Linked DNA regions of Drosophila melanogaster. The protein of the gene in region 1 interacts with the protein of each later gene in a pairwise test. Each region holds a gene or a part of one and is shown in the gene's direction. Other genes may lie near its edges. The genes, in order: CG14005, CG13733, CG15096 and CG18609.

Region 1 (7,349 bases):
TAATTTCCACGGGCTTTTCACTCGCGCTCCGTACTTCGCATCATCTGCTGAGGAAACAGATCCTAACGCTAATTGGAGCAACAGCAACGAGGCACTCAAGCTAAATCCACCGAGCATAGCTGAAGGGACCACGCTTAATCTGAATCTGATGTTGGAAACAAGTGCGGAGTGCTCGGCATCTCCAAAGCGAGTGAACTTTGCTGAGCGTAAATGATTGTATTAAATTAGCGGCCAATGAAGGGAAAACCATAGCGAAAGACCCCATTTAACAAGTGGAAGCGACACTCATTAGTACTAATTCTCATAAAGACTTCGGAGCCCTGAGAACTAGCTAATACCTCTTTGCGATGAAACTATGTTCGCTTTTTAAACTATTTTATTTTTTATTTATCACGATTTTGATGGCACAAAACAAGTCGTTTTATTTGAGTGTGTAGTGAGTATCTTACAGTCGAATCCCTCTAATTCAGCTTCTTAAATAGATTTCATACTTGAATGTAGAATATTTTGCCATTAGGAGGGCGTCTACCTTCACGGCTTTAAAAGTAAAGATAACAAAGATTTTTACTTTCGATTTCTAACTATATTCTTTCAACTTCAAGAAGAAGATTGAGATGGGATAAGTATCTAGCATTCCTATTTCAATTTTTATTTGATGAAGATCGTTTGTTTTTTGTAATTGTATGCACTTTTAAAGATCCTGCCGATTTTATAAACATTGACATAAACAATCCATCCACAAGGGCAAAGACCCTAGAATATTCTATTCTAGTGTCTTTGACAAGGGTGTATGCTAGTCTCCTTTAATAAAAATGTTGCATACTTTTCAGCGCTGTTTAATCTTAAAATGTTATTTTACATTTGGTGCTCAGTGCCTCGATTTTAAGTTATTTTTCTATTAAATAATTATAAAATTCTTTGCTCCAAATAATATTATTATATAACTTTGCAGAAATCGATTGTGAAAATATAACCCTTCGGTTTCAAAACTCGAAAATCGATAAAAAAAAAGCAATAATCCAGCGATTTTCGTTATTTAAATATATTTATTATTTAAGTTTACTTTTTAATCTTACAAACAGTTTTGCATGTTTTTTGTTAAGTTTCGTGGCACCGATCAGCCTGCGAAGCGGCATGTTGCAGCAATCCAGTATCTGAAAACCAGTGTTCGTGCACTGCGGTCCAAAATTGAGGTTATGAAAAGTCGGAAAAGGAGTTCACTGCGGCCGCTGGGCCGTAGGATGCTGATGCTGCTTCTGCAGCTGAAGGACGTGGCTCAGAATCTGCGCCTGCTGCTCAAGACACTTGGGGAAGAAGGTCTGCATGAGGTCGACCTTGCGTTCCTCCAGCTCCAGTCGCTGCCGACATATCTTGGTTTGTTCGTAGAGCAGCTGGTTCTTTCGCCGAACTTCCTCCATGTAGAGCGCCTCCAGCGAGTCTGCGTGTGGGGGATTCACAGATCCGAATGGACGACCGCGCTTCCGTGGCACAGGGACGGGGGAGGCGCCAACGACGGCGTTGTTGGTGGTCGAAACTGGAGCTGCAGCCGGAACCGATGCCGATACCTGTGCGGGCACCGGCGCTGGCATGCCTCCGTTTGCGTTTGTGGCCACGCTGATGGTGTTATTGCTGCTATTGATATAGGCTACCGCCGTTATGGGCTGATGGTTGACGGTCGATGTGGCCGCAGTGCTAATAACGCTGTTGTTATTGAATTGAGCCGGCTGCTGCTGAAATTGCGACTCATAGTTTGTTTGGAACTGCTGCTGTTGTTGCTGCTGCTGCTGCAGTTGTTGCTGCTGCTGTGGCGTCTGCAGCTCGAGCAGCTGAGCCGGCTCGGCTGGGGAATACTGTTGCAACTGCTCCTGAAAGGGAATGGAGCGGTACTCATCGTCCTCGTACTCCTGCTTGACCACCTCGTCATACTGGTCCGTAAACAGCTCCGTGTTGAAGCTAACTCCGCCGCTGGTGTTGTTGTTGTGGCTGCTGCCGTGATTGCTATTGCTGCTGCTATTGTAATAGGTGGCAGTGCTTGGCTCACTGGCCAGTCCCAAGCCTTGCTGCTGCTGCTGCTGAACGGATTGCTGCTGTGGCTGCTGCTGCAACTGCTCTGCGGACGCATCATCCCGGGGCGGTGTCATGTCGCGGTTGTTGAGCAGCGCCTCTGGCGGCAGCGGATCGGCGTTCTTGGGCCTGTGCAGGTTCTTCAGGATGCGATTGATAATGTCGTACTTCTTCCAGCGCGTAGCATAGCTCGAAGGATCCGCCTGCAGCTGTTTTTTGACTTGCCTTAAAAGGGAAACCAGTCAGTTAATCCGGTATAGCAAAGTGTCTAAACGGTTACCTACCTGAACTTGGCCCTGGTCTGGTTGACCTTCATCTGGATCTCCTCGGGCTTCACGTCCACGGCGAACCGGTCGCGCAGTTCCTCGGCCCACCGGCCAAAGAAGATGGTGTTCTTGCCGGTGCGCGTCAGGCGCCAGTTGTCGCGTCCCCAGATCTCGTACAGGCGCTCCTCCTCGCTGGGCGTCCAGTAGCGACGCGCCTTCTCCTTGCCCCTGCCATCGAGCAGCTCCTGACCACCGCACATGCCTAAGTCCTGCTCGGCACCGCTGCCGCTTCCGCCCGCGTTCAACGCCAGCTTCTCGTAGTCCATCGACTGCTCTGCACCGGCTCCTGATCTGCTCCCGCAGATGTATCCCTGTAACGTTGCCTTTGGATATGCGATCTCCACTCTAGTTACACAATGCGACGCTGTGGTAGAATGGTTGAAGCCAAGTGCAGTTTTTCCGCACAAAAAATCAACAACAGCTCTGATACACAGAAGAGTGTGACCTTGCGGCGCGAGAACGCCGAAAATGCCTAGATTCCTGAGCGAATTTCCTGAAATAAGTAATATAATAAATTTCATTTAGTACCATATCAGTATCATGTATATACTACAGCTGGGAGAATGGCTTTGGGGCTAGTCCAATATTAAGAAATAAAATTATTAAGATATTAGATATATCTTTTCCAGATTTCAATAGCTCTATAAGAAAATTTAAATCATTGATGGTATTTTTTGGCGCCTGCCGCGCTCAAGCGTTATTGGTATTTCCACGCCTGGTCCTTGGTCACGTACGAAAATGTTTGGATTATAACGATTCCACAAAATTGAAATTAGACCGGAATATGAGCGGCCAGAAGCACCTGCGATTGCGCTACTACACGTCGCTGGAGGAGGCCATGCTACTGCGGCTGTGGCGCGAGCACCTGCATGCCATACCCTCCTACACGGACAACCTGCCCATTTTCCGGGAAATCGCGCACGGCCTGCAGCAGAACGGAGTTCGGCTCAATAAGCAGGAGGCTCGCCGGCGCATCAACAGCTACCGCAACAAGTATTTGTGAGGCGCAGCAGCGGCTCGGGTCAGTTCACAGTGCTAATATCTCCTTCCACTTCTCTGCAGGAACGATCGCAATCGCGTGGGGGGCAATGCGAACTTCGCGAAGGATTGGCGTCTCTACGCGCTGATCGATTGCCTCTTCTGTCCTGCCTGGCCGTCGTCCGCCCTCTTCCATTTCCGCAATGTGCTGGAGACGATCCGTGCGACAGCACGTGTGGATTTGCCCGCCCTGCCGCCACTGCTATACACTTCGCCCGCCCAGCTAAAATTTGAGCGCGACTCAGAGGGATGCACCTTCCTCGATGCCCAGCCCCTAGTTCCCGCAGTAGTGAAGACAGAGCCTCTGCCAGACGAACACCACCAGCTGGTGAATATTGAATACAAGCCCACAGTGACGCAGCTGGAAAACGCGGCTAGCCACTACCTGGAGAGAGCTACTGCCGAAAGTGTCATTCAGCGGTCGCCTCTCACGCCTGCCAACCACATCCTGCCCGAGGCAGAGGATGCGCCATATGGAGGCCACACCAACGGTGGCCAGACGGACGCCGAACGTTCGGCGAGCAAAAGGAGACGAGGGCGACGTAGTATACTGCCGCACTCGGGCAAGATCACAATGGCAATAGTGGAGGCGCTGCGCAAGGAGAACAGTTTGCTCGAGCAGCAGAACGACGCCTGTCTGCAGTCGCTCGTGCGCAAGGAGAAGCAGTTCCTGGACATGAAACATAACTTTCTGGCGTATATGGAGCGGCAGGAGGCAGTGCTGGCGTTAATAAAGCAAACGACCATCAAGCTGGAACCATGATCCCGACTACTAGCACCACGTGGTAAGGACATTGTATGACAGCTTTAGCTTTAAGTTGGGAATAGAGTCGCGGCGCTCGACCCTGTGTATGTTTTTCAATTCGTTCCTTTCTCAGACACAGATGTCTAATTCACTCGACGTACAAAGCAGCAGCATAGCGAACCGAAGATATTATAATTTCTCAAACGTTCTTTTTCTAGCGTCATAAGTGTAATGTGTATGAACAATCGTCTGTGCAAAAGATCAATCTATACGGTCTTTAGTCTTAAATTAAAAACATTGTCTTGAGGCGAACTTGTATGGTAGCTACATTTTTAAAAAAAAAACTAAAACTAAACAACTGGCTAAAAAATAAATTAGATGAAAGACTATTATACTATATATATATACTATACTATATAGACTATACTATTATTTCTATTGTTACAGAATATCTTGTTGATATAATAGTAACGAAATCAAACATAAATTCAAATGAAATCAGTGTGAATAGCCTATTAAGTTTTGCATTTCGATCAACTTAGCGTGTGCAACAACCGCCGGTTATTTGTTCATCAACCCCTGCTGCAGCAGTGTGGCCGTAGCCGGAATGTGAAAATATCCGCAAACACCGCATGCGGACCTCTCTTAGTCGCTCTCTTAGCGCACAATGCGCTCTCTGCCAACCGAAATGCCACAGACTTTTTGTAGGCTTTTCCACTTTTTCGATTTCGAGACTTCGAGCGAAACGGTCGTGTTTTTCGCGTGTGTGCGGGTGGCGGACGCGCGTGCCAATCGGAAAAGGCCTTTAAATCAAATGAGTGGCTCGCCAAAGGAGCGCATCAAGGTGTGTGCGATTGTATCGAGTGTGTGTGCTTGTGCGGTGCGGAGAAAGCCAGCCAGCCGCCAGTCTGGGATAAAAATAAAGATTAAGATTGGGATAAAACAAACGAACGGCAGCGAAGTGCACAAATTGCCGTGGAATCGGGGCTAAAGAAGGAAAAACAAGTGTGCAGCACACACGGATTGAAATGTTTGCCAATGTGTGCGAGCGTCACCTAAATAAACAACAAAAAATTCGATTTGCAGCAAAGAGAGCGAGCGAGTGAGAGAGCGCGAGAGTGGGAGGCTGTTATTGTTGTTGCTGCTGTTGCCGCCGCTGCATGTGGCATGCCCGAAAATCCCAATCACAATCAGCTGAGCCCTGCCGCGCCTCTCCCTACCTCACCCCCCGCACCCATACGCCTTCTCACACTGTTTGTTGGCCAGTGTAAAAGTTTCTCGTTCTGTTTTGCGTGTCTCCTCCGTTTCTCTTTCTCCAGGGCCACAACACTGGGCTACAAACTATGTGAAAACCCGTTTCGTTACATTTCGCTTTGCCCCGCCTAACCCCCCCCCCCCCCTCCCATCATTAATTCGGTTTTTTTCTCTGCTGTCGCGTCACGCCTCTCACGTCTTTTTTTTACTGTTTTGTTGCAGTTGTTGCTTTTGCCCAGCGCCTCTTTCATTCATAGAAAACGGTCAGCAAAGCAAAGCATAGCGAGGCGACAGCAACAACAAACAGCAGGTAGAGCAGAAATATTAGCGCGATTTCTTTTCGTTTCGCCCAAAAGAGCAGCCAAAAAATCAACAAAATACGAAACACAAAGCCAAATCAAAAGAAATCAAATTTCAAATTCGTGCGGCCACCAGCAAATATCGAAATAAAGAAATTATCTAAATCATCATCAGCAGCAGCACAAAAATCGAAAATCTCCTCGCTGTGTGTGTGATGTAAGTGCGATAATAATATTTAACAATTGTAAAAGTTTATTTTATACATCATGCCTAACTGGCGCTATTGTTCGCCCCTTTTTTTTTCGTCTTCCGCCTTTTTTTTTATGAAATTTGCTACTCATATCAGACCAACTTCGTAACTACATCAAGTACAATTTTTAAGGTTTATAATGTTACCATAATTTGTTTAAAATTTCCCATGATTGTCGTCATTTATGGGGTTTTCCTTGAGCGCTAATCATGCGGTTCTATACCACTTGAATGATAAGATTGATAACATTCTTGGCAATCATTATCGAATCTATGGGAAAATCATAACAAGTTCCATTTTATTCGCAGGCAGAGAACTGAAATTAATCGTTTTGGTTAATTGCCAATTTGATGAGTTCCATTTTCCAATCGCGATTTAATTTTCACATTAACAACACATTTGTTAGCCCATTAAAAATTTGTTTGGCATTTGTTTTCTTTAAAAACAGCTCATTAAATCGCCGGAGTCCACATAAATCTTCTCGTCGTTTGTGGCTAAATATTGTCACTTAGCAAACACTCGAAAATATATAACTTAATTTATGCGCACGACTATTAAAAAAGAACTTGGAGGTGTCGAAAAAAGCTAAATATAGGAGGAAGTGTATTAGGTAATTGTGTATTCCACATTGTTATAAGCACTACTGTCTTTTTATTGTTATCTGACAATTCTATGCAATTTATTAAGTACATGGATCTTAAGTTGTATAAAAATAGACATGAGCTGTACATAAAAAATCAACATTTCGCTGCGAAGTGGTTCGAACGGGCAATTTAACACGATCTACTTAACTTGTTGTGTTGCTGTTTATTAATAAAATATTTGCCAATTATACGACAGTTTGCGCGTTTAGTTCCATGTGTTTCGCCCTATTATTAAATATTTATACTTGATAAACACGTGCTTATTTACACCATTAGTATGATTCGATCATTTTCTGGGTAATCAAACGATAACTGAACTAAACAAATGTTTTTCTCAATAATTGCGAATATTTGTATAGTAAAACAAGCAGAGCAGTTTTCTGCATCACAGAGCTCAGTATCTGGTATCTGATGTCGCATATTGTAGATAAGAAACTATAGTAAGGGACTTGGTAAATTTAAGGCGATACCAACGCATTGCGGTGTTGGGATTACGTAGAACATAGGACCTTGGATGCGATTAGCTCGGAAAGATGTCTGGTTTTTAGATAAATAGCGAGAGAAACAATCTAATACACAAGATTCAAGCGGAAGTTTATAATCGTTGCCAAGAAAATTCCAGAAGGCTGATTTCTGCCTATGCACTTCAAAGCTTTTCGATAAATAAACAGTGTAAAATAGTTTTTCCCAGATTAAAAATGCTTTTTAGGATGAATAAGTTCTGGTGA
Region 2 (6,911 bases), on another chromosome or scaffold:
CAATTACATTGTACCCTTTTATAGCCTTTTAACTATTGTCATTAACTATATCAGTGATAACAATTTTATGTATTTGTATTAATCTCTCATTTCAACTACTATCTATCGTTACTAACAGTTTTCTGCCAAAACGATTTTAACTTTTAATTTGATTTGACTTTAATTATTAGGCAAAGTATCATTGGAATCTCTTGGATGAACATCATTATGGTATTTAAAGCTCTTGATTTATCAGATTTCATTTCTTTGTATTAGAAACGTAATCAATGTGAGTTATTTTTATCATTTTTATTTATTAAAAATTTTAAAATTATTATTATTAAAATATATGTATATATTTGATCCGCAGATGTTTTCGCTCATCTCTGGCGAAAAATTACTCTTCCTCAATCTTTTGGCTGCCGAAAAAGTAGCCAGACGAATGTCCACATGTGCCGGGTATGTTGTATATAGTATCTGATGTCTGGACTTTTATTGTATGGCTGACCTTGAATTTATGGAAATTGCATAAGTGGGAAGAAGTTTGTCATATTAAGAAATATACTGGAAGCATAGAAAGCCGAAGGCAGTGATGGTGACATAAACGACCAGACCTTGGCATTGTGTTGAAGGACTGTGAATCGAATTATTCGAGGAAGTTGCTTGAATTATGGCTCAAGGGGGTACTTTGAATTTATGAGTATTCAGGATATTAAGAATGTCTTTTTTTTCGCCGGCCAGCACCATCCATCCATCTTCCACACCCCGAAAACCAAACGAAATCCGCTTCCTGCTGCCAAATAATTTACAACTTGCGAATGCGATGCACAGGCTATGGGAAGAAAACAAATAATGATCAGTCGCACATAATGCATGCATATATCCATGGGCATATCGATAACCCTTATCAAGTGTGCGGCATCGCGGCCAAAAATATACAAATTATGCTTACCAAAAGGCAGAGAAAACATAAATCAATGGTTTTGGAATACTCTAACCAAGACAGCAATGTATGAAACTTCAAACATTTTTCCTTATTTCCAAATTTACTTAAGAGATATTAAGATAAGTATACAAGAAGTGCAAATTTGTTGTACCTACTTAAATATTCATATGCATACATGTATGTACATACATATATGGTTATTTGCGTGTGGTTGGTCGCCTCAAGTGATGGGCGTGGCACTTTCAACTCTGGTTCAACCCATACAATCATGAAAACTCTGACCAGATCTTGCCAAAAATGAGCCCACCTTGAACCTGAGTTTATCAAATTGCAGTCATTTTGCTTGTGGTTTTTATAGTACTTTCAAATAACTGAGATTAGTTGGTCAGTATCGTTACAAAAAAAAGGGTAAAAGTGATCGACTTTTTCACTTTCCGCCAATTTGAGGATATTTGCAGAGATTTGAGTGTTGCATGATTCATAATCGAACATTTATATCATAAAAAAGTAAACAGTTCAGTTGCTTATTTATTACGCAGAATTGCCTTAAGAGTTCAATTAACCATTAAATATTTTTAGAGGTGAAACAACGTTTGCCCTCACTTAATCGACAAAATTTGAACTAATTCGAATAAAATTAAGAGTCAGAACGAATTCACGAGTGGCTAAATTATTGTTTAAAATGACCAAGGGCGTGAGGATTTGCAACGATGGATTGCCTGGTTTGCCGAATGAAAGGCCATATTCCCGAAGAACTTTAGATACGCGGCAAAAGACTCAGAAGATGTCCTCCAGGCCATCTAGGAAACCATTGCAGTCTCTACAAACTGTCGGTCGGAATACGAGTTCCAGCCTGAAGCGCATAGGAAGTCCGATCTCCGAGGAAGAATTTGGTGTCCTGGTGCAGCAGGATTGTAAGGCAGAGCAGCATCACACCGATCGCCAAAACCTGGCGGACATAATCCTTATGCAGGCCCGTCGCATCGAGAAGCAGCAGCGGGAGATGAAAAGAATAAAGGCGCACTATGAGCGCCAGGTGTCCACCATCAAGAACAATGCCATCATGCTGGAGTCGCATCTGCAAAAGGTGCTGGCCAGTGTCGAAAGGGATCGGGCCAAGCGGATTGGCCACCACTGCCAGGACATGCTCGGTGCCGTGGAGAAGCTGCAAAGGAGCGACATCCAAGTGAAGCCGCAATCTTCGGCCAACCAATTGCTGATCCAGTATCTTCACTCCAAGAAAATTTCGCATTCGACCAAGAAGTCCAATGAAAACACAAGTAGGTACAGGAATATGTTGTGAATCGTATTCTTGTGTGTACATTGTGGTTTCACTGGGTTTTGTGGTCAGCTTAAATTAGCATATATGTGTATTAATAGAAGTACAAGTTATTATAAAATAAAATAATGGCAACAATGAATTTATTTTATTTTACTAAGTTAATTCTCAACAAGGACGGAGTTGGGCACAATCATTATCTGTTCTATTCCTCGTCCTCCTCCGAGGCAGTTACATCCACGATCGCGTTAGACATGCTCTGTTGTATCTTTTGCTGGACATTGGCGTCCTGGACCAGGTGATCTGGCTGGATGTAGCACAAGTTGGCGCAGCCGAGCACCGGGCATCGGATGCCAATGCGGTCCATTATGATCGGCATCACCGAGTCGCGGTCGTAGATGTGACCGCACATTTTGTTGCGCATGGGGTTCTTTATCAGGGCCTTGGACCAGGGATCGTAGAACGAGAAGACCTCGCTGCCGGAGTCTTCCATAATAAGGTCCTCATCATAGGCGGTGCCATTCGCTTGATCATTGACTTCCGCACCCGCCTGACCAGCTGCTGATTCAACTGCTTTTACGAAGTTCTTGAACTCGTGTAGATTCTTGACATTGATGCGCTTCTGCTCCACCGCTTTGGAGCGTTCCTTCCAGACTTCCTCGAACTCCTCGATGGTGGCGCTAGAGTTTTTGACCTGATTCATAGCCTTGTTGAGCGATTGGTGCTTTATCTTCATATGGACTACATTCACGGCGTGCTCCACGCTCTGCTCAACGCTCTGCTCGAGCAACTTCTTGATCTTCCCGCCATCGCTGAAATCGGACACGAAATCTGACATTTCCTTGAAGAACTTTTTGTTTTCCACTAAAGTGGAAAGTGCGGAATCAGCAAGGTAATTGAATTCCATTTTATCCAGAATATTTAAGCCAAATGTTCAAGACTGATGGTTAGTTAGGCTAGCCTATTAATTAGTGGTCTTTGAATGGACTTATATTTATAAATAACGTTGATATTTACCTGAAATTAGGTTTTTAAGCAAATGCCACGTGGAATGTAATCGCTTAAAAACTGGAATCATCGAGAATTTATCGTAATTTACGATATCGATCTTAAATCGAAAGCACAGATTTTTCGGTTTTCGTTTCGTTCGAATTTTTCGATTTGTAAAACGGGCACTTTTATCTGGTCGAAATAAAAAGTAAATGCCTTTTTTTTATATCAAATCAGATCTTATTTACAGGGGAACAAATATCGAAGGTTGCCATTGAATTGCGTAATCAAAAAAAATTTCAATTACCGGAGCATGCTTGCATAACAACGTTTTATTTAAGTTTTTAAATGTCAGATCTCGGATTCCCCACTGAATGCCTTCAAAATCCCAATAGACACCCCAATCTTGAAGCAATTTTCCAATAGACAAGCCGTGTGTTTTGGACTACCAAAATTTCATTCGTCCAGCGCGATGCCATACCACGATCGAGCCAAAGCCCGATTGGAGAACGAGGTGGTTCTCCTGCGGAGCGAGGTGTCCTCGCTGCGCTCCAAGCACAACCAACATCGTAAGTATCGGCAGGAGCAGGTGGTTCTGCAGGCGCGTATGGAACAGGAGATCCAGCTTCTACAGAGCGAACTAGCCGCAGCTCAATCGAATCGGAATGAGCGGGAGTGCGGTGGAGCCGAGCAGTGTTCAGTGTTGAGCCAGCAGCTGGAGAAACTTGACGAGCACGTGGCTAAGCAGGAGAAGTACATTGCCTTCCTGGAGGAGCAGATCAATCTCACACGTAACAAGTACCAGCAACGTATGACCGAAGTCCGGCAGAATGCCGAACTGGTGGAAAAGGAGATGAAGCGGGTGCGCCGCGAGATGAAGACCATTGCCGAGCAGGCTGGGGAAGTGGACAGCCTCAAGAACCAAGTCGGTTTCCTCACCGCCAAGCTGGAGCGCCGGAACGCCATCATCTCCAGGTACGAAGCCCAGCAGGAGGAAATGATAAGTATCATGGCAAGTCTCCAGAAGAAGAAAGTTAAAAAAACGCGCCATCAGAAGATTCACAACAACCATGACGATAAAGCTGATGTCAGATCGATCCCTTCCGAACAGCTACCAATGCCCAAGCCGAGTGATCAAATAAAGCATCGCAAGAAACGGAAATTTGGCGAAGGCGATAAGGAAGATTCCAGCTCGGCGGGCTCTGATAAGCCACCAAGTTTTGAGGCGAATCCCAGGTCTTCAAAAATTCGATCCCATAACTTGGACTGCCTCTCCTCTGCGCTGAAAAATAAGTTAAGTAACCAGCAACAGTCAACTGTCGAGGGATGATCTGATTTCGTACCCATTATCTGATGGATATTCAAATTTATGGTTTTTAGATAAGCTTTTTACAAAATTTCTTCTGTAACCGAATATCTCTGTAAAAATTGTTATGTACATACATATATAGATCTCTTATGAACAGTAAATGATTAAACTAACCAAACGGAACTTCAGTCAGCACTTCGTTTTCGACGGGCGTCGGAGTTCCTGGAACTCCCGATTTACAAGTTCATTGACAAGCTGCTGGATTATCCATTCAGCAGTATGGAATCGGGTTAATGATCCGGCTTAATGGATGGCTTTATTTTGATTTATTTTGTGTGGTAAGCAATAGCTTAACTGCATTTGTTGGGAAAGTTTGAATGATCCGATGATGTAATTAATACATATGAATATGTATTAATCAATCAATTATTATTGTTTAATGCGTAAGTTGTGCTTGTAATAATGGTCATTTATTCACGGAAATTTCTAAGAAATGCATATGTTCTCTGATTATTATAAACTAATAATAAACTACTAAAGATGTAACTTTTTTGTTTATATTAGTAAGCTGTGAAGTTAGGTAGATTTTCAGGCTATATGAAGGATTAGACAGTTGCAGGACTATCAGTTGATGTTTAAGAATATTTATGGGATCCTTCATGTTCGTATAAGCAACACTAATCAGAAGAATAGGTAGACTTGTCTCAGTGGCTTATCCGAGGGCTTAAAGGTAGTGCTGCTATTTCTAGCCCTGCAATCAAGTCACGTTCGCTGGGTGTTCTAATGCAATATTTTAGCATAAGAGCACGTACCGCAGTATTGCATAAATTCTGAAAGTGCCGGGCAATGAGTCAGTACGGGATTGCAGAATGGAGCCAGCTGAAGTCGGGCGTCTATTGAATTCTAATGCTGCACCAGGAAGTGCGTGCAGACATTGGGCAATCAATCGCCGGTCAATTGGAATCGTTTGTGGATAGCAATTGAGTGTGATTGGATATGGCTTCTACTCCGGCAATTGGGGCAAAAGTTCAACAGTTTTTGGATGAGAATGCCTGTTCCAAGTAGGACTTACTTCGAGTATTCGAATAACCTATCTTATCGCAAGACAGCTTGCCAAGAATCACAGTCGCCTGATGATGAAATTAACAAATTCTGGGCTCTATTTTTTTCTTCTTTTTTTTTGCACGATCCGTGGAAGTCTCGGGGGCAGTCAAACCAGTTCACCCGGCCTTCGAAAACAATTATATTTTTGGGGTTGGGCGTGTTGTTGTGCAAACACCTACGAAATAACACGATGACCCTGAGACCGAAAAAAGCACGAGTACGTTCTAGCACCCAAAATATTACACATATAATGTACGTGACGTCACTGCCTCGAGGAGTGCTCCAAAAACCATAGAACTGAAACAAGATGCAAGGTGGCTTGTGGTAGTTATTATTAATCCTTAGCGTACATTACATTATGAGATATATTAAACACTAAACTGGATCCATCTACGTGACAGAAAAGCTGCGAAAATTGTTTTTCAGCAGCATGACCACGAAGAAAATGCCCACGGCAATCGACAAAAGCTGCACGTTGACCACCTTTGAGTCCACCAGGGCCTGTAGCATGTTGTGGATACTTTCGCTGCGCACTTCGTTACCGCAGCAGTCCATTAATGCACTAATATCGGATCAATAACCAATTAGAACGCCAATATTTTGCTTGCAAACAGCTGTGCGGTGGCTAGAGGTGGGGCTATTTACTTTTCTCACTCATCGATTGTTTCGGGTGACTTTCGATGATTGATTCTCTGCAACTCTAGCGGGTGACTATCAATGCTAAGACCGTTACCGAATATTAAAAACAAGTAAAATTTTTATTTTATTATTAAAACGTAATATATTGCCTCCATGTCGTGTTTTTTCTTTGAAATTCTCATCATATGAATTTTTTGTTATTTTATTTTGAGACATTGCAGGGCGAGATAGCTTGGACTCAAACCAAGACTGGGGAACAGCTGATGCAGCTGCTCATCCAGAAAAACAAATTCTCTCTAGAATTGTTTAGCAAACAGAGCAATAAAACTGATAAAATAGAACATAAAATTATCCCATGTGTAACGTATGAGTACAAAGCCTTTGGTGTTTAGCCTTCCAGCAACCGAAACACACAACTCTCTTGAACTGTGGGTTTAGTTTTATTAATTAGTTTAACATAACTATCTGCTAGTTGGGACGCTTATTCGTCGTTCGCGTAGTCAGCGGGGTTCTTGCGCAGCAGGGCGGTGTGCTTGCGTTCGGTCAGATCGTAGATCAGGTATCCCACGATGAAGGCTGAAAAATTGGGTATTAGAATACGATTCGACGGGAATCCTGAGCGATTTACTTACGGGGAGTAACGATGAAGACGTTGGAGCGGAAGC
Region 3 (11,452 bases), on another chromosome or scaffold:
CACTGAATAATCATTATAAATTTGTTGATAATTAATCAAATATGCGGAATACGTCATAATTTCTTCGTGTGCACTTAATTCCTGATGAGTTCGGTTGAAAGACCGCAGAAACTCACCATCGGAATACCCAAGTTCTAGAGTGGGCTACAATGGAAATGGGTGGAAGTACCCTAGTCAATGTCATCTGAGCCAAAATCGGCTATTGGCCCGCAATTAACATGCGCAACGGGCCGCTCGAACGGCCAATTGCGATCGGTCGACTTTAGTATGGCCAACATCGAATAGGTCGTACTTAGCTTAGTTATGTGATTATGTGCTCACTGACGGGGCCAACAAAGCTTGCCAATTTGGCGGCAGTTCGTTCGTTTTCCATTGAACGACAGGCACTTGAACTTGAATTTGAGGGGGTGTAAGCCTTTAGTTTCGTATTGAGGAACTAAAGTCGACATGTTGGCCAAGTTCAAGCCAAACAGCACGTTTTGCATATTAAGAACCCGGGCATCATTCATCACCAGTCCGGCGGCAAACTTGTGCAATCAGATGCAGACTGAAAGTCTATATAGTATAGTACGAATCTGTAATCCATTAGAACAACTGCTCATTTCGCTGGGCTGCAAATAAAAATGTGTAACGGATTGTAATTGGTCGAACAACACCCGCCCGATAAAATCCGACGGAGGATGTGTAATTGCATTGACTGGCAATTATTTTCAACCAATACTCCGCCCCTTCTGCCACCTGACACGTGAAAAGCGGAAAGGTGAAACAAAAACACAGATATCATACGGATTTGCCAGTGGAGCATAGCGTGATCACTTCGCTGGGGGGGGGGTTGATGGAAATTCGGTTTGGGATCGGAAAATGCTGCATCATTCGGCAACGGAAGAGCTGCTGTGCGGCAGAACTTTCCAATTTACATAAACCAATAATCGATTTGCATACGACAGGTAGCTATTTTTGCAACCGATGGATCTATTAACGGATATATTTTTGGCGCTTTGTGGCGAACCTATTGTGCCAAGCACGATATATGGGTGAATCTATAAAACATTAGGCCATCGAAACTCAATTAATTCGGTACAGCGAGCTAAGATTTCAATAATGCATAAGCCCGATTGGGTAAATGGTTAAGTAGCTTTACTAAAACCAAAGTTAGATTAGCTCTCTATGTTTGTAATGGATGTAAACAATGATATTATGGGGAATTCTGCGATCACTACGGGGATTTTTATGGGGATAAATTTCAGGCAGTCCATTTAATGGTAGTCTACTAATTATTATTTGCTTTTTTAAAGCTCATAGAATTTTTACTAAAGGTATAATCTAAAACATATAAATCATACCAAAATCTCTATTGATTGAAATTTTAAATTTTACAGTCACATTGATAGCATGAAATGTGATACTACTTCAGCGTTTTACTGACACAATCATTGGCTTTCAAAGGAGATTTGTCGTGTTATATATGATGCGACTTATAACCGTATTCGGTGTAGCGCCTTTTGATAAATTTGGAATCCCCAGTGAATTTCCTATAGAGTCGGTAGGGTATCAAAGTCTACCAAAACCTGCCAAAAAAGCTTAACGAAACTTAGTCAATCGATTCGTGACTCCGAGCATCATAACTTCGCTCTCATTGACTCGTCGTAACTCGTTTGATGAGATCGAAACCCAAACAGCGGCATCATGACAAGTGTATTAGGAGGAGATCCGTAGTCCCAACCCCCCGCCTGGTGCCGATTTTTAGATGGGACACGTTATACGTGCGGACTTAAGATCGTTTAGTACAACCATTCTGGTGCACGCGTTTGTCTGCTTCCACTGTTTAGCGACTAAAGATAATCAGTTTGTTTTCATTTCCAGGGGACATGAGACGGGCATGTGAGCAAATATCTGCCAGATACATCGACCCAACTGTCGCGAAGCTATCTAAGACACTTGTTTGCTCTGCTGACGCACCATTAGATCGAACTTTCATTTGCGGGGCCCATAAATTTGGCAATGTGATGTGCGTCTCAAGAAAAAAGTCGAAGATACAATGAGATATCTGTGTACAAAGTACGCGACGTGGTGGTAATAATAATAATAGTTGCAAGAAATTCCAGTTATTGTCTTTAAAACAAACAACACAATCGCCATATAGCGACAATAGATGGGATCCCAAACGAATTCCATTGGAGCAGCCAGGCATGAACTATGCATAACTAAGAATTTCAATCGACACCTGCTGACTGGGCGGCAGCCGAGAACATTTCTAATTGTGCCCCTTTGGATGGATGAAAGTGAAAGTGCCCTAATGTCAAGAGCACTGCACTCCACTCTAATCTCGGCCAGGAATTTCCAGATAGTTTGATAGATCGTTAAGCGCGAAGTTCCGTGGCATCCACGAGTACGGCAAGTGATCGCTTAACCAGTTTTTAAGCTACGCCACTCTGAGCTCTTTTTTTTATTCGTATTTTCGTATTTTTCGTATTTTATTTTTTGTTGATCGGGGTTTCCCTTGACGCCCAATAATTCAATCTGTGTTTACCAAAAAAGTTTCATTCACTCGCAAAGCTGAAGACCCCCAGTTAGCCGGCTGTAAATTTTCCATTGGCCCATTTCGGTGCGGCTGGTGGATTGCATGCCGTTCGCATCGCCCTCGGGATTGATACCATAGAATATATCATTATGTCAAGATCAACAAATGAGCCTCCTTTGATTGGGTGCGAGGTCCGGCCACTTGACTTGGGCGCGATGTCTTTCCCATCTACGCGTACATATGTACACTTCGTACACGGAGTCCCTGACAAGTCGGGTAATCTAAAGATGACTTCGATAAGATTCGATTTTACGGATATCTCTGCCACAACGCCCACCCCACGGGCTGTCCACGAACCGGGCAAGTGGTCTGGTTCTGGGGAATTTCTCTGTCCGCCGGATTTTGCAGTGGAGAGTGCTTTTCATGGAGTGCCTGCTGACTAGCTGGCCCGTTGGCTAGTTGGCTGAAATCTCCGGTGACGTATTTTGGAGCGTGCGAGCACGGAGCGTGTTTGAGTGGCGATCGATCGTTAGCAGCGTATAAATGGAGTCGCCGCGCCGACTCAGCGTTCAGTCGGTGTGAAAGCGCAGCGTCGTCGAGAGCGGTACTCAAGTACTCTAACTGAAACTGAACTGAATAGTTAACAACATCCTATTGAAACGACCCTATCGAAATCGGGAAGAAACGAAAGCGATTGCATCGGTTGTGAATATGTTGACATTTGCTTCGATCGCTGGCAAATATTTAATTACCACGCCGCATTAAGAACGGCCCAAGCGAAAAAGTGTTAGAACAATACAAACGGACCACCCACCAAAACAACACTGCCAAACACGCGTTTAGAAAGTAATTTATTCGAGAGAGTAAAAGCTAAAAGCCAGTAGTCATCATGAAACTCATGTGTTGCGGTGGCAGCAATGGAACCATGGACATGGAAGCCAAAAACTCTAACAAAGAGGATGAGGCCGTGGGCAAACGTAAGTGGAGCAACGCACCATGGTTAGATAACACCAATGGGTCGGTCGGTCCTTATTTTATTGCTGGTGGGAGGAAATAACCAATTTGACAAGTGGGTTGCGACAAGGGAGGCGGTTTTACTTTCCAGAAATAATAATAATGGCCAATAGTCTAATTTATTTGAAAACCCACAAAAAGCCACAGAGCGAGAATTTTAGTTGGAAAGTGATTTAACGATGTGTTGCATCATAAAAAGTTATATAAAACTAATAGTGTTGACTTTTGAGTCTTTTTTCAGTGATTTGCAAAAGCCAAAGCGATAGGCTCGAACATAAAACATCGTTTGCCGAAAGTTTTCCAAACCTGAAGTGCTGTTCGATTACGACGAACAATTAATTTTGAAGTGCGGTCAGTTTGCTAATTTCACAAAATGTGATTAAATCTTAAGTGGCAGTGACGGTTAATTATTTGCTTTTGTTATTCACCTTATTTCACTTTTTCGTTCTAACTGCATCAAGTGTTTTCATGGTGCCAAAATGTGTTTCGCTCGATGGGTGTTAGTCACTGAGCTCATTATTATTATAATTATTATTATGGTCGAAAACAGAGGCTAGTCATTAAATCTGAATTAGTTTAGTTGGGATGAAAGTGGACTGTCCACAGAACTAATCCGATAAATCGAAGAGACAGGAAGTGGCTTTGCAAATATAAATCATCAAAGTTTGTATGCAAATCGCGACCCAGGGCAAAAGTAAGAACAAACAGCTCATTATTATTATAATTATTATTATGGTCGAAAACAGAGGCTAGTCATTAAATCTGAATTAGTTTAGTTGGGATGAAAGTGGACTGTCCACAGAACTAATCCGATAAATCGAAGAGACAGGAAGTGGCTTTGCAAATATAAATCATCAAAGTTTGTATGCAAATCGCGACCCAGGGCAAAAGTAAGAACAAACACACACACACAAAGCGAATCGAATCACTTCATTTTGTGCTCTTTTTGTTTGGGTGGCAGCCAACCGGGCGTATGTGGAATTTTGAGATAAACAAACAAAACAGAATAGATCACAAAGAATGCTCCAATATGCGGGGACAGGCTGTCTGAGGCGAATCCAGTTTAGTGCCGGCAACTAATGAGCAACTATTGCACAAATACTGCTACTAAACAACAGCAAACATCGGCTACGGATTTAGATTCAGATTCAGATTCAGATTGAGATTGAGAGATACGATTCTTTGAACAATTAGAGTCGGCCGCGTATATGGCGAAAACATAAATCTCGCATATTTCCTATTATGTTCCTGCTTTGACTAAACGACTCGGCTGTCGAGGGGGAAGTGAATATGGATATTTGATGATATCTTGGAGCCAAGCCTTTAGGGATAACGCACGTGGCTAATTAAATATGCACATTTAACGCTAATAAATCGAATATCTTTATTTAGAGCTGCGTGCAATTATCGGGCGCCAAGTGGCCGGCATGCAAATTCATTAGCACTTGACAAAATGCGGGGAACTCTTCCGTCAGAGCATAAATTACACATGAACGCTCGAAATGAACAGCCAAGTTTGGATTACTTGTAATTGCATATTTAAATAATTTCACTAAATATTCAAATTGGCAAGGCAGGCGCCATGGCGCCCGCTAAATAACGCAAAAAACCTCATAACGAGACGAGGCTGACACCGCAAGTCGGGTCACAAATCACGGGTAGAACGGAAGGTTATGGAGCTGATAGGCCAACAAAGGCACTGGAAAAAATGTATGACCAAATGCACAAGTATTTAAAAAAATAAATACAATAATGTTTTACAGTCTATTTCCACTTTTCGATGCTTAAGCTAGTTGTTTTACAACCAAATACCACTTCTTCTAGTACCGTGTGGCATTCATTAGAATTCAGCCATTTGACATAGACATACATTTCCAATACCAACCTATGGAATATCCATTTCAATTTCAATTCAATTCAATTTCAAATGCAAATTTGTTACTTATTATTTTTCGTCTGCATTGTGGGTGGTTCTATCGCTTGGAAAAAACTCGCTCCGCCAGTTTTTGCTGTGCGTTCGTCTGTACCCAACCAAAAAACCCGGCTAAAATGCAGGCTTATCAGCCGTCCATCCATCCATTCGCCCAATCAACCATCCATCCGCACGGCGGCACAAGGTGGCCAAGTGAGTGGACCTTGTCTGGGGCAAGTTGTGACATCTTGCCACTTGACGGCCATTATCCCACGAACAGCAACGACACCCGGCTATCAAAGGAAACCCTATCTAGAATGTCATCGAGTGGCGCTCGCTATCTGGTCAATGTGAAACTGAAGTGCCTGGACATTTGAAAGTCGTTGGTCTTAACGTCTTCGGAGCGGAGTTTCCACCTGTCACATTCGCCATATCCTTATCAGCCATATGATAGTGGCAATAAGACCCCTAAGGCTCTGATGTGTTTACCCCAGAAGCGTGTCCAGCGGTCTTCATTCATTGAGTGACTGAACATCAGTGTGGGAAATGGAACTCAATTAAAATGCATAATTCTATTTTACTATTCCGTAATTACGATTCTAATTGCGTGACTTGTGGTTAGCAAAAGCTTTAATGTTTTGCTGCCAGTTCTTTATAGCCATTACCTACCGTAGTAAACAATAACATTGCAGCTTTGGTCAGCTTTGGCTTTTGGCGCTTGAGCTTTTGGCGCTGAATGCAAAGCTTCGCTATGTGGAATACGATCCAATTTCCAACCGCTTTCAAGTTCAAAGCTATCGGAAAACGATTTGAAAATAGCGGCTAGGCAATAAATCGCAGATAATTTAGGATCTGTGATAGGATCGTAACATTCGGTGACCGTGTGATCAGCATAATGCCTAAATTGGTTACATCAAAAGCTGGAGATTAGGTGGAACCCCTTCAGGGTTTGAAAATGGGTTTGTGTTTTGGGGTGGTGGAGGTGGGGGTGCAACTGCCACGCGCTCTTACACTGTCAACAAATCAGAGCGACAGCCAACGTCACAGATACAGATACAGATACAGCTGTAGCCGCGAGCTGTAGCTCAACCAAATACAGATAGGCTTACCCACATAGCCACACGACTACTGGGCGATGCTGGTTAGATGATCTGACTATTTGCGTAAAGCACCTGCTGATGCTCCGCCAAGAAGCCATCAGTTAGTGAGCAGGCTCCAAGCCGAACGGTAGTGCCTTTGCCTTAAATTCCACACACTACATATTCATAGTTACTAACTAAACCAAATCCAAGTATGGTTACCACTGTGAAGAATCGTCGCTTTGAGGATGAAGGTGGGTCCTGATTTAAGGGGTTTTACAAAGAACTTAAAAGACATTAAGCTTAGTTAAGGAAAGAAGTACCTTTAGGTGATTCTTAAAACATAAAGTCATATCTTTTTGTATGCAATATGCAATTAAATAAATAACTGCCATCCAATTTTTGTTTCATAAAGCATGAAAACTCACATTACAACCCGATTTCTAAATTTATTTATAATTGAAAGTAATATATTTTTTACGACTATTTTCAAACTTTTTAAATCGACTGCAAAATAATTCCAACATTGCCACAGCTTCTTTCCCCTTGCTCGAAAAATATATATTTACTATAAACAGCTCTAAACAGGCAAAAAATTGCGTTGAACTCTTATCAGCGATGATAACAGAATATCCATAAAAGACGAGCCCCCAAATTCAGTTAGAATGCATAGAAGCGAAAATGGGGATTAATTCGGGATTTTTAAATAGCTCGGTGTAAAGCGGTTGTAACTGCTTTTTTATGGCCCACTCACAGCTAGTTAATCTCTGTCAGCAAACTCGAGATTAAACAAACACCGAACATTAGCCCACAACTACAATACATAGAGATATAGTTTTATATCTCAGTAACTTGGGGCCAAAGGGTTGGAAAGTGGGTGGTGGTTAGGTGGTTCGGAGGCGCAGACATAGCCGCTGAAGTGTGGCCGACAATTGGGCGCCATATCTATGAATGGAATTTTTTTCGTAATCCAGAAACCAGAAACAGAAGCCGCCCCCCCCCCCAAAATGCAAATAGAAAGGCAAATAATTGTATATCCAGTGCTTGTCTGGCTGATAAGGGATGATAAATTTAGGCGTAAATTACGCCTGAAATGGTAGAAATAACTACTATAGCATGTAGTCTCTCAGTTATAAATCCATTCAGTTGGGGGCCCGATCTCGGATCTGTGGGCCTTAGAATGACCGTGTCTTGGCCACAAGCGACCTACAGGTGACCTACAGAGACAGCCCCACAGTCATAACATTTAGGTACATGTGCCTCTGATAATGCGGCTGATAATGCGACTGATTAGGAATGCTAATCGATGGGTGATTGCCCATTGACTGGGCTGAAGATCAATATAGGTGTCAGATTACCGAAACTTACCTAATCGATTGCGTTCTGATTCCTTTCAGACTCCGGCTTGGGTGTCCGTCACTTCCAGGTCTTACTGCTATTCTTTGCCCTTACGGTGGCCTATGGCTGCCGAGTCAACCTCTCCGTGGCTGTGGTGGCCATGACCGATGCCGCCTCCGTCAATCCCGATTTTCCCGTAAGTACATATATGGCGAAGTCAGTAATGAAGTTAGCAGAATACTAAATTACTATTGCTTTCCAGGAGTATAATTGGTCGGAGAAGACGAAATCCCTGCTGCTGAGCAGCTTCTTCTGGGGCTATGTGATCACCCAGGTGCCAGCTGGTCAATTGGCTCGCAAATATGGCGGCAAAGTGATGATCCTGTCGGGACTGGCCATCTGCTCGATCCTGAACATCCTGACACCCATTTGCGCAAAGATCGGAGGCTGGCAGCTGGTCTGCGCCCTACGAGTGGTGGAAGGTCTGTGCCAGGGCGTGGTCTTTCCCTCAACCCACACGATCCTCTCCCAATGGGCACCGCCCAAGGAGCGTGCCACGTTGGGAACCTGTGCCTACTCGGGTAACCAGTTCGGAACGATTCTCATGCTGGCCACCAGTGGAGTGATTGCAGCCTCGCCAATCGGCTGGCCCAGCATCTTCTATATCTCTGGAGGAATCGGATGCGTGTGGTCGGTGGTGTACTTCTTCTTCGGCGCAGGATCGCCACAAGAGTGCAAGTCCATTTCGGCGGAGGAGAAGAAGCTGATCGAGATGTCGCAGGCCGACGAGGTGAGCGGTGGCCAGGAACAGCCGAAGGAGCAGTTGCCCACGCCCTGGCTGAGCTTCTTCACTTCACCCGCTTTCCTCGTCCTGATCGTCTCACACTCGGTGCACAACTGGGGTTTCTGGACCCTGCTCACCGAGATCCCCAGCTACATGAAGAACATCCTGGGCAAGGACATCAAGTCGAATGCTCTTCTCTCCTCGCTGCCCTACGTCTGCATGTTCGCCATGTCCTTTGTATTCTCGTCGATATCCGCACAGTTGAACAACCGCAACTGCATTTCAAGGTCTACGAGCAGGAAGCTCTTCAACTCCATTGGTCTGTGGATTCCTATGGTCACCTTGGTTGGCCTTGGCTATGTGAACCCAGATCAGTCGGAACTGGCTGTGGTCCTACTCTGTTTCACCGTGGGCATGAATGGAGCGACCTACCTGGGCTTCAACACGAACCACATCGATCTGTCGCCCAACTTCGCTGGCATCCTCATGGGCATCACCAACGGCGTGGCCAACATTATGAGCATCATTGCTCCGCTGATCGTCGGATTCATTGTCACAAATGAGGTGAGTTCACAATCGATTTGTAATCATTATATCCTTGCCTGATATCCTTGTCAGGATAATTATTTTATTGAATGCCTTGACTAAACCCCCAATCTCCTGCTACCTTTTTCCAGCACGATCCCGAGCAGTGGCGCATTGTGTTCTTCATTGCAGCCGGATTCTACCTGGTGGGCAATACTCTGTACGTGATCTTCGGCAAGGCGAATGTCCAGCCCTGGAACGATCCTCCGGCGAAGCCTCGTCGCAACTCCACGCCCCAGGTGGAGTCGCAGCACTAGATGAAGCTTTGAGCTTGGGTTTATTTAAATGGTTACCGAAACTACTAGTCAGCTAGTTCCGCTCTCCTTCAAATCCAAAACTATCAATCCTATTTGCAGCCAGGTGCAATGCATTCTCGCATTCGCCGTGTATATTTGTAAATTGTATTTGTTAACTGTGACTATTTCGTATTTGCATTCCACTCGTCTTAAGTTTTAGTTTGTTAATACTATGTGATAAGAATACCCATGCAAAAAATAAGAAAACAAAAATTACAAAAAAAAAAAAAACAATAAAAAGAGCATGAGCAACATGTGAAAAGAAAACCGCAGAGATGTTTGATTCCCACATGTGGTGGGTCTTTAATGTGGGTGGGAACTGCTCGATTTTGAAGGTCAGGTAAATTAAAATTATTCGTTCATCTATTTTGAGTAAAGTGCTCAAGATCAATCATAATCTTAGAAATGTTTCCAACACTTTCGTTTTGCATTCTCTGAAGTTTTTTAACTATGATATTTTATTGTTTTTGGAAACGGTCTTATGATCAGCTCAAGTAAAAATGTTTAGTTCCTAATTCTGAGGATTTCTTTGTGCAAAATCAATAGTTACCTATACTAATAGCAGGCCCCAACTAAATAGCAAACTTTTGAATTGAAAAAATATTCTAAATTATGAAAATCTGCTTACTTTAACATTTTCGTCTACTTATACTAGTAATTGCTTGACGATTTTCTGAATGAAGGAGCAAACAATGAAACTTTGGATTTGGTTTACAAAACGCCCCAAAAAGTATGCTTTAAAAGTAGAGATCGTTGTGGAGAAATCTTGTACAGTGTAAGCTGCATATACATGTAGAATACATGTAGAATTAGCTCATGTAAACAGAAGTTACCAGGTGATCAACCTCAACGTCTTTATCATTAGGTACGTAAATCTGATGTTTTGGTTATGGAATAAAATTTGCTTTCAATAAAAAAAAATCACGTGCTGAGAACGACCTGTACATTCCAACGCTTTGCTGACGCAGCAAAGATTGCAGACTTGAAAACGCAGATTTGAGTTAAATACTTTATACTCTAGACTCCGCCAGCAGATAAAGTTGGATCACAAAACAAAGACGAGCTGGCAAATCAATTTTGCAATCACTTAATCCCTATTTCGAGCGTATCTCTCACATTTGAGTGCCGTGCACATTTTATAGCTTCGAACTCGGCGGGCGAATGAAAAGTGGGGGACAAGGCGGCTTGGGTTGCGGGATGGGGGGCAAATTCCACTGGCGGGGCGAACTTGTTGATAAGCGGAATTTGAATAAATGCCTTTTTTCCAAGCACGCGATATGAACAATGGCAGTGTTACGTATGAGACGACTTCAGTATATATTTACTTTTATATATATATTTACACATGTATTTTTAGCTATGTGACGGGAGTGAGCGAGTATTTGAGTCAACACAATTTAAATTTGATTCCCAGTAAAACTATCATTTCGAATCGGATCTCGTGCTGGGTAAGTTACGAGTTCTGGGCGCTTCAGCAATTTTCATTCGCCAAGCACATGTGCAGGAATCTTGATCTCTTTAGCAATCTCACGATAAGGGAATCCATTAAATGCCCATTTAAAGGAGTTTATTTTTATGAAATCTGAAGAGATCTTATCAAGTCGCAATAAAACCGCGCAACGTTACCGACCAAGTAATGTTGAACACTGCAAAAAAAGGGTAATATATTGTACGATTAAAATAATTAATATTATAATATATAGTAGATAATTCTCTGGCTAATAAAATGCGTTAGCTGCAACATTAAGTAAAAAAAAAGAAATGTATCATTGTGGCATTATTATTAAAAGATTTCAAGGAAGTGAGATTTTCAGTTTCCTCGGTGTATGGTCTTGATTAGGTTTCTGGCCTCGGTTTTTGGCCATCATCGTAAACTGGTTGGATGGGAAGGGGGGCCCGAAATCAAGTGTGCAAATCTCGACC
Region 4 (6,962 bases), on another chromosome or scaffold:
GCCGCCGCCAGTGGCTGCCAGTGCCTCATCCACTTCGCATGCGACACCTCGTTAAAAGTAACGACACACTGGGCTAGAGGCCCGCAAGGAGTCGAGGCACTTCACTCGACGGCGCCGTTTGCGGCGCACGGAGCAACCTCAGAGCAAGACCGACCGACTTCCTGCCATTCTACATACCCCCCATTTCTATATTTTCGCCCTGGATACCCTGCATCCCCTCTACCCCCATTCCTTTTTCTGCCAGTTGTCGACACGCTTTAAGTTCTTTTTATATTCCCAGCTGTTTTTTTTTTTTTTTTACATTTTCTTAACCCGTTTTAAGCCCGCAGCTGCAGTAACAACACGGAAAGAAAAACAATTATAAAATCCTACCTAGAAATATCTGCTATTATTTAAAAAAATAATGTTTTTAAAGAATAATAAGTATCGTTCTGAGAACTTAATCTGAGATCTTAACAATATGATTGCAACTTCTACCAGCCCATATCTTTTCACTTATGTATTTCTCTGAGTGTACCAGCCCGGCTGCGACTGGCCTCGTTTCGCGCTCCACAAGGCGGCCCGCCACTTGACTGCGATCTGCATAAACGCAGCGCCACCCAGAAAGGAGTCCTCCCTCTCTAGCTGTTTCTGCTCCTTTTCGTTCTGTCGTTGTCACACACTTTCTAGGTTGGCAGACAGGCAGCCTTTAAGCCCAAATCCCCGCCGAACGCAAAGCTTTAAAGACGGGCTCAAGCACTCTAATCCTGACAAAACTGGAATAAGTTCCATTTCGCAGTACTAAGCATTTGTAACGCTTCATTTGTCCCTGTCTCCAATCCTCTGCCTGCTGTACTTTGTCTTCTGTTCCCCGCTCCTTGCTCCACGGATAAATATTTATAATTCCCAGATTCATTTTGCCGAAGTGGACTGGTTTTCTGTGCAGCAGCGCGGTAAATTCGAATCGAGCAAATGTTGTGCCGTTAAAGTTAATGCAATTTTCAATCGCGTTGTTAAAATGTAAATTTTATTAAACCATCCAGACGTGCGGCTATCTCCACACCAGATTCCCATGGGTGTTGGGACACTGGTGCGCTGGGGAAATGGAGATGGAGAGTTGGGCTTGACCTTTTTACGGTTCCGACTGTTGGCCTTCTTATCGGCTACGTGCAATAGCAAAACTCGAACCCCAAATGATTTGTTGGCCGTACTCACAGGATATCCAGCGGCAATTTGACGGAACAGTCGCGCAATGTCGCCTGATGTTGCTGCTGTCTCTGGTGGTATTGCTGCGTGTTGCTGCTATTGCTGTTGTTGCCGCTGGTGTTGTTGTTGCCGCTGTAGTGTTGCTGATAGTGATGGTGGGGATGCTGCAGCAACTGTTGGTACTCGTTTGGCTGGGCATGCTGCTGTTGCTGCTGCTGCAGCTGCAGATGTTGCTGCTGGGAGTGCTGCTCGTTGCCATTACTGCTGCCGCTAGTGTTGCTGCTGCCGCTGCTGTTGCTGCTGCTCGCACGTCTTTTGGCGGCAGTCATCAGAGAGGCAGCTGCGCTCGGCTAGAGTACGCGTTCAATGGAGCCCAAACGATAGCCGCTCTCGGCTGTTGCAGCAGCTAATTGGCCAGTGGACGTGGGCCAGCTCGATTGCAGCAACGTGCAACATGGGTTGCTGCCGGATTGCCGTATTGCCTGGTTGCCGGGTGGCTGGTGGGCGGTTAGATTTATGGGCCAACCCACCGACACACCGACGCCGCCTCCTCCACGTCCTCCTCCTGGGGGGAAACTGCTCTTTTGTTTCGACCCTTATCGCAGGAGTCCGTTTCGAGTTTTTTGCGCTTTAATTAAATTTCAGGCAATCGAGGGGGGCTGGGATTCCTTTAGCTCTATGCGTTCGAGGTCACTGCTCACAGAATTGGAAAGGTAACCTGTGACTGGGCGACATATTGAGCCTCATTTCCGCCCGGGCAAACAAAACGGAAGTTTTCTAACATCATCATCATCATCATCATCGGTGGCACCAGGTCCTGGCCTTATTGTTGTTCTGTAATTAGATTTGTTGCTGCTGCTGATGTGGCTGTTGTTGCTCCTTTCCTGGGATTAAAGCCGTAATGGCCTCTTCCGATTTGGCTGCTGCTACTGATGTTGCCCATAGCCATCGTCTATTGTCTGCCAAAACGCTTTAAACCACTGAAAAGAGTAGCAAAACAAAGAAATCGGTTAGGCAAGTCAGGGCCATAAATTATTGATACCATAGTACGTATACATTAACTTTTCATCATTTTTTATTATAAAATTATGATGTATATTTTAGCAATAGAGCAAAAATTCTTTCCGAAAAAACAACTTTCATTAGAAGAGGATATTCAGAAATGCAATACATTGAAAACAGTTTTAGTAAGTAGACTTTGAAAAACACATTTGATATCTAATTTTAAATTTATATATTTTTGCAAGTACTAAACATAGGTTTGAATGCCCGGAAAGCGAACCACCTGACACCAAAGTGGGATCCATGCAATGCGTGCGGATGAATTAGAAACTTCGTTAGAAATTCAAATCTTGACGACTCTTGGTCGGGGCACTGCACTACGAGAATAGTATAGTGTCTGCAGGAGCATACATAATCAGGTGTTATTGTGTTTTGGGTCCGCATACACTGTTGCAGGTGCATTGGTATATAAAGTGGCGAATGGCAAACGCGCTACTCAGTTGCATTCGACGGAGACACCATGAACTTCACACTATTGGATTTATTCCGAGGGCTGCCGGCAGGTCAGCCTGATCTTTGCATCAGAAATATCCACTTACTTACTTATCCACAGATCCCGTCCATTTGCCCATGTTTGGCACACCTTTACCGGCGATTGTGATAGTTTTGGGTTACCTGCTGCTGATTTTCAAAGTGGGACCCGATTTCATGAGATCTCGTAAGCCCTACAATATGCGAAAAGCCATGTTGATCTACAACTTCTGTCAAGTTCTAATGAATTCTGGCATTTTTTTAATGGTGGGCATTTTTAGCTAATTGCTATACCTATAAACAAAAAAATTAATTTCATATCTCTGTACTTGCAGGGCACTTACTATCTTTTTATTAAAAAACTATACGATTTCCGCTGCATGACCATGCTGTCCTCGGATCATCCAGATAAAGATGTCGATCGTTTGTTGACCTACTTTTACTTTATCAACAAGGTGATCGATCTGATAGACACGATATTCTTTGTGCTGAGAAAGAGCAACAAGCAAATCACCGTACTCCATGTATACCATCATGTATTCATGGTTTTGGGTGTGCCATTGACATACTATTTCTACGGACCCGGAGGACAATACAACCTGATGGGATATCTCAACTCATTTGTACATGTGGTGATGTACGCCTACTATTTCGCATCTGCTTGGTATCCAAACGTGAAGAGCACATTTTGGTGGAAAGAGTACATCACCAAGCTGCAGTTCCTACAGTTCATGATCCTCTTCGCCCAATCTGTACTGACATTGTGGCTAAATCCCGGTTGCCGTTTTCCCAAGGTCCTGCAGTACGTTCAGCTGGGAGGTTCCGTTTCCATGATGACCATGTTTGGAAACTTTTACTATCAAACCTATGTCAAAGCCAAAAGTAAAGAGCAGTGATTTATAAATACAATGCAGTTCTCTTTACGCAATTGAGCCGGTCTCAATCGAGTGTACTGAGACTGAGCGTTTTATTCTGGGTCTCTCATTCCGAAATGTAGGACAGACATCGCAGTTCAAATAGCTGAATAATACATTATGTGATTTGATTTGGCTTCATTTCGTTAAAACAAACTGGATTGTTTCAAGACTGCTGAAACAGTCGCCAGCGGTTCCTCAAACAACAATCAACCATTTAATAATGCTCCGATACTTGCGCATACCTCAAGCGGGTAAGTTCGGCAATGTGCTGATTACTACAAGTATATCACTTCTTTGAAATACTCAACAGATCCTAACCCAATTCCGCTGGCTGGATCACCATGGCCTATCACACTGATTTTGATAGCATATCTGTTGTTTGTCCTTAAATTGGGCAAGATCTTTATGAGAAACCGGAAACCATATGATTTGAAAACGGTCTTGAAGGTCTACAATCTATTTCAGGTGCTATACAATGGTCTCTACTTCGGAATGGTAAGTTGGATGACTTGTTACAATCTTTTTGAAATTAAAAAGTGTGTTCCTTTATTTTTCAGGTTTTTTATTATCTCTTCATCGTGGGCATTTGCAATCTGCACTGCATAGAAAGCTTTCCCGAGGGCCATGAACGCAAACAATTGGAACGAGTATTGCATGCCGCATATCTGCTGAACAAGGTCCTCGATCTTATGGATACGGTGTTCTTTGTGCTGCGAAAGAGCTATAAGCAGATCACCTTCCTGCACATATATCACCACGTGTTCATGTCCTTTGGAAGTTATGCCCTAACCCGTTACTATGGAACTGGAGGCCATGTCAATGCCGTTGGACTGCTGAACTCCTTGGTGCACACGGTCATGTATTTCTACTACTTTCTGTCTTCAGAATATCCCGGAGTGAGGGCCAATATCTGGTGGAAGAAGTATATAACATTGACACAGCTCTGCCAGTTCTTCATGCTGCTCAGTTATGCCATCTATGTGCGATTCTTTTCACCGAATTGTGGCGTTCCACGCGGTCTTCTCTATCTAAATATGGTGCAAGGCGTTGTGTTCATTTATCTGTTTGGTAAATTCTATATCGACAACTATCTGAGACCTCCGAAGGCGAAAATCAACGCAAAGCAATCGTAGCCTTAAGTCATTTAAATATACGTAAATGCACATTTAATTAGTCCATGTATTTAACTAAGCAATCACTATGACTTCTGCTCTCTCAAATGTGACTTCGGACCGAAGATATAACTAAACTGAACGAAACAATAAAATGGTATTGTCCCGAACTATTTCTGCATTTCATTATGGGGCTGTGTTTTTGTGCCAACGGAACAGCGTGAAACGTGATATAATCAAAGCTATATATGGGATGTTTATAAAAACCTTAATCGTATACAGAAAGTAAAATAATTTTCCATTCCACGTTAAGTCGCGTGTTTCAACAAATTTCCATGAAAATGATTGCCGATGGGCGGTCGAAATGTATCGAAAACCTAATAACATAAAGCTCAAGCGACCGGCGACTGGAAAAATTGCCAACACCCAAAAGAATATTATGAAAGATGAATATTTGAAATGACTAAGGAACCCTTTGATCTGTTATCGGCTTAAAAAACAAAGCACGATGTCATAACATGCGTGTTATATTGGACTTGGAACTGAATTAGCGTGTGAATCCGCTACACATTGAACTCACATTTTAAGGGGGAAAAGTACTGAATGATTATAGGAAAGAACCGTGTGTACTAAAGTTTCATAATATTCCATAGCGATGTAGACAATTACATAAACAAAATAACAAAATATATCGTGGTGGTAATCGTATTCTTAATTTATTTGTTCAAGGTTTGTTTATTGTCAATAGCTTATAAAACATTTCTAAAAGCTCCTATTGAAAGTAAAGGTTTTTTTTTTTGTGGAAATAAGAGAACACCAATAATGTATGCTAAAGAGAAATTTCGACTCAAAAAAGGTCGGAATTTCAATCAAGAGCTCTGCAAATCGTAGCTTTAAGCTCAATCCATATATATTGAGTAGTTGTAATCGAATAATTATTGTAAGTTTACAACGTATTACTCACATCGCATTGTCTATAAGACAGCTGGCGAGAAAGCAGCAAAAATCAGAGGTATGATATTGTGCTAGATAGCCAGCCGATCCCTTAAGTGTTTGGAATATCTGACAGTACAACTGAAAGAATCGATCAAACTGAGAAAGGTTTGGCAAAGCCCTGCCAGTTAAATATCGACAGAGTGAAAACTGCACGCCGGAAAAACAGCTCGAGGCAATCAAATGCTGCCCCCTACTCTTTGCTTTTCCAGCTTTTCCTGCTGTTTTTGCTCGTTTGTTAGCACGTTGGAAAAGCTTCGCTTGATAAGCATAAGAAATGGAAGGCAACTAACAAGTGCGTTGGCTTGAGCGTGTGTGGGATTTTGGGTGTGTGTGTGTGTGTGTGTGTGTGGCACAACGAACGACTGCACATAACAAGCTTCCATTCTATCCCATTTATGCTGCTCCTTGGCAGCTGATAGGACAAACCGGAGGCGCTATAACCGTAGCTGAACTCTGTTGCACTAGTCAAACTTAAGCCGGAAATTCACTGTGAGTACAGAGAGAGAATAGTTGTTCAATTTTTAAGCGAAAACTTCAGTATTAGACTCAATAGATGACTCAGTTACTTTATGTACAGAATTAAAGTTTAATATCAAATTCCCATGTATCACAGAGGTATTGAATATTGATTAAATAGATAGCTCTTATAGATCACTGCAACATAATCTTTAATGAAATTGTTTCCTTAAACTGCAAAGTCTTTTTCCTCTGTGCACAGAAACATGGAACATTCACTTGCCTGCAATTGTATTTACTGCTGGAGAAAACGAAAACAATTGCCGCAAATATGGCAAATGGCAATTGAAAAACAAAAGTCCCTGGCGAAACGAGACCAGAAATCCGTTCGCCTGCTGCTTTCACACTTTCCAGCCACGCAGGACAAAAGGCCAAAAAAGCGGCAGCAGGGACGTGAGTGCTGAAAAAAAAGCCAAGGATGCAGCTGCACACAGAAGAAATGAAAAAAATGGGGACGGAGTGTGGGAAAATGCACAAAATTGGCTGTGAAATGAACGAGATGAGGCGGCTATTGTTAACATCTGAGGGAATACAAGGGTAATAGCTATGACAGCAGCGAAACTGAGGTCAACACTTGGCTTTGCGTGCGCAAAAGGCAGGCCAAAGTCAAACGGAAATCTGCATAAGACCCTCCAGTTGCGATTGACAGTCCTTGAGATGTTTCCACTCAGTTTCCCATGTCTGTGGCCTCTGACAGAACCTG

What was found.
Region 2: the proteins of CG14005 (region 1) and CG13733 interact in a two-hybrid assay, tested with the Drosophila melanogaster proteins (one large-scale study listed by BioGRID).
Region 3: the proteins of CG14005 (region 1) and CG15096 interact in a two-hybrid assay, tested with the Drosophila melanogaster proteins (one large-scale study listed by BioGRID).
Region 4: the proteins of CG14005 (region 1) and CG18609 interact in a two-hybrid assay, tested with the Drosophila melanogaster proteins (one large-scale study listed by BioGRID).

The regions. Positions count from the first base shown.
Region 1 is NT_033779.5:5,797,712-5,805,060, reverse strand, and holds CG14005 (uncharacterized protein), read left to right. Parts: upstream 1-3,085; 5' UTR 3,086-3,174; coding exon 3,175-3,389; intron 3,390-3,452; coding exon 3,453-4,191; 3' UTR 4,192-4,544; downstream 4,545-7,349. Other genes in the region: CG7239 (uncharacterized protein), read right to left, coding at 1,218-2,289, 2,349-2,656.
Region 2 is NT_037436.4:17,475,562-17,482,472, reverse strand, and holds CG13733 (uncharacterized protein), read left to right. Parts: upstream 1-3,546; 5' UTR 3,547-3,666; coding exon 3,667-4,524; 3' UTR 4,525-4,678; downstream 4,679-6,911. Other genes in the region: CG6333 (uncharacterized protein), read left to right, coding at 1,608-2,228; qjt (quijote), read right to left, coding at 2,410-3,111; CG34250 (uncharacterized protein), read right to left, coding at 5,847-5,904, 6,002-6,162; UQCR-Q (Ubiquinol-cytochrome c reductase ubiquinone-binding protein), read right to left, coding at 6,728-6,822, 6,879-6,911.
Region 3 is NT_033778.4:18,806,650-18,818,101, reverse strand, and holds CG15096 (uncharacterized protein), read left to right. Parts: upstream 1-3,082; 5' UTR 3,083-3,410; coding exon 3,411-3,498; intron 3,499-6,641; exon of another isoform or gene 6,642-6,740; coding exon of another isoform or gene 6,741-6,780; intron 6,781-7,923; coding exon 7,924-8,060; intron 8,061-8,126; coding exon 8,127-9,212; intron 9,213-9,325; coding exon 9,326-9,490; 3' UTR 9,491-9,746; downstream 9,747-11,452.
Region 4 is NT_033778.4:18,740,469-18,747,430, reverse strand, and holds CG18609 (uncharacterized protein), read left to right. Parts: upstream 1-3,804; 5' UTR 3,805-3,855; coding exon 3,856-3,886; intron 3,887-3,945; coding exon 3,946-4,130; intron 4,131-4,192; coding exon 4,193-4,768; 3' UTR 4,769-4,914; downstream 4,915-6,962. Other genes in the region: Hs3st-A (heparan sulfate 3-O sulfotransferase-A), read right to left, coding at 1,195-1,514; CG17821 (uncharacterized protein), read left to right, coding at 2,708-2,750, 2,801-2,985, 3,054-3,614.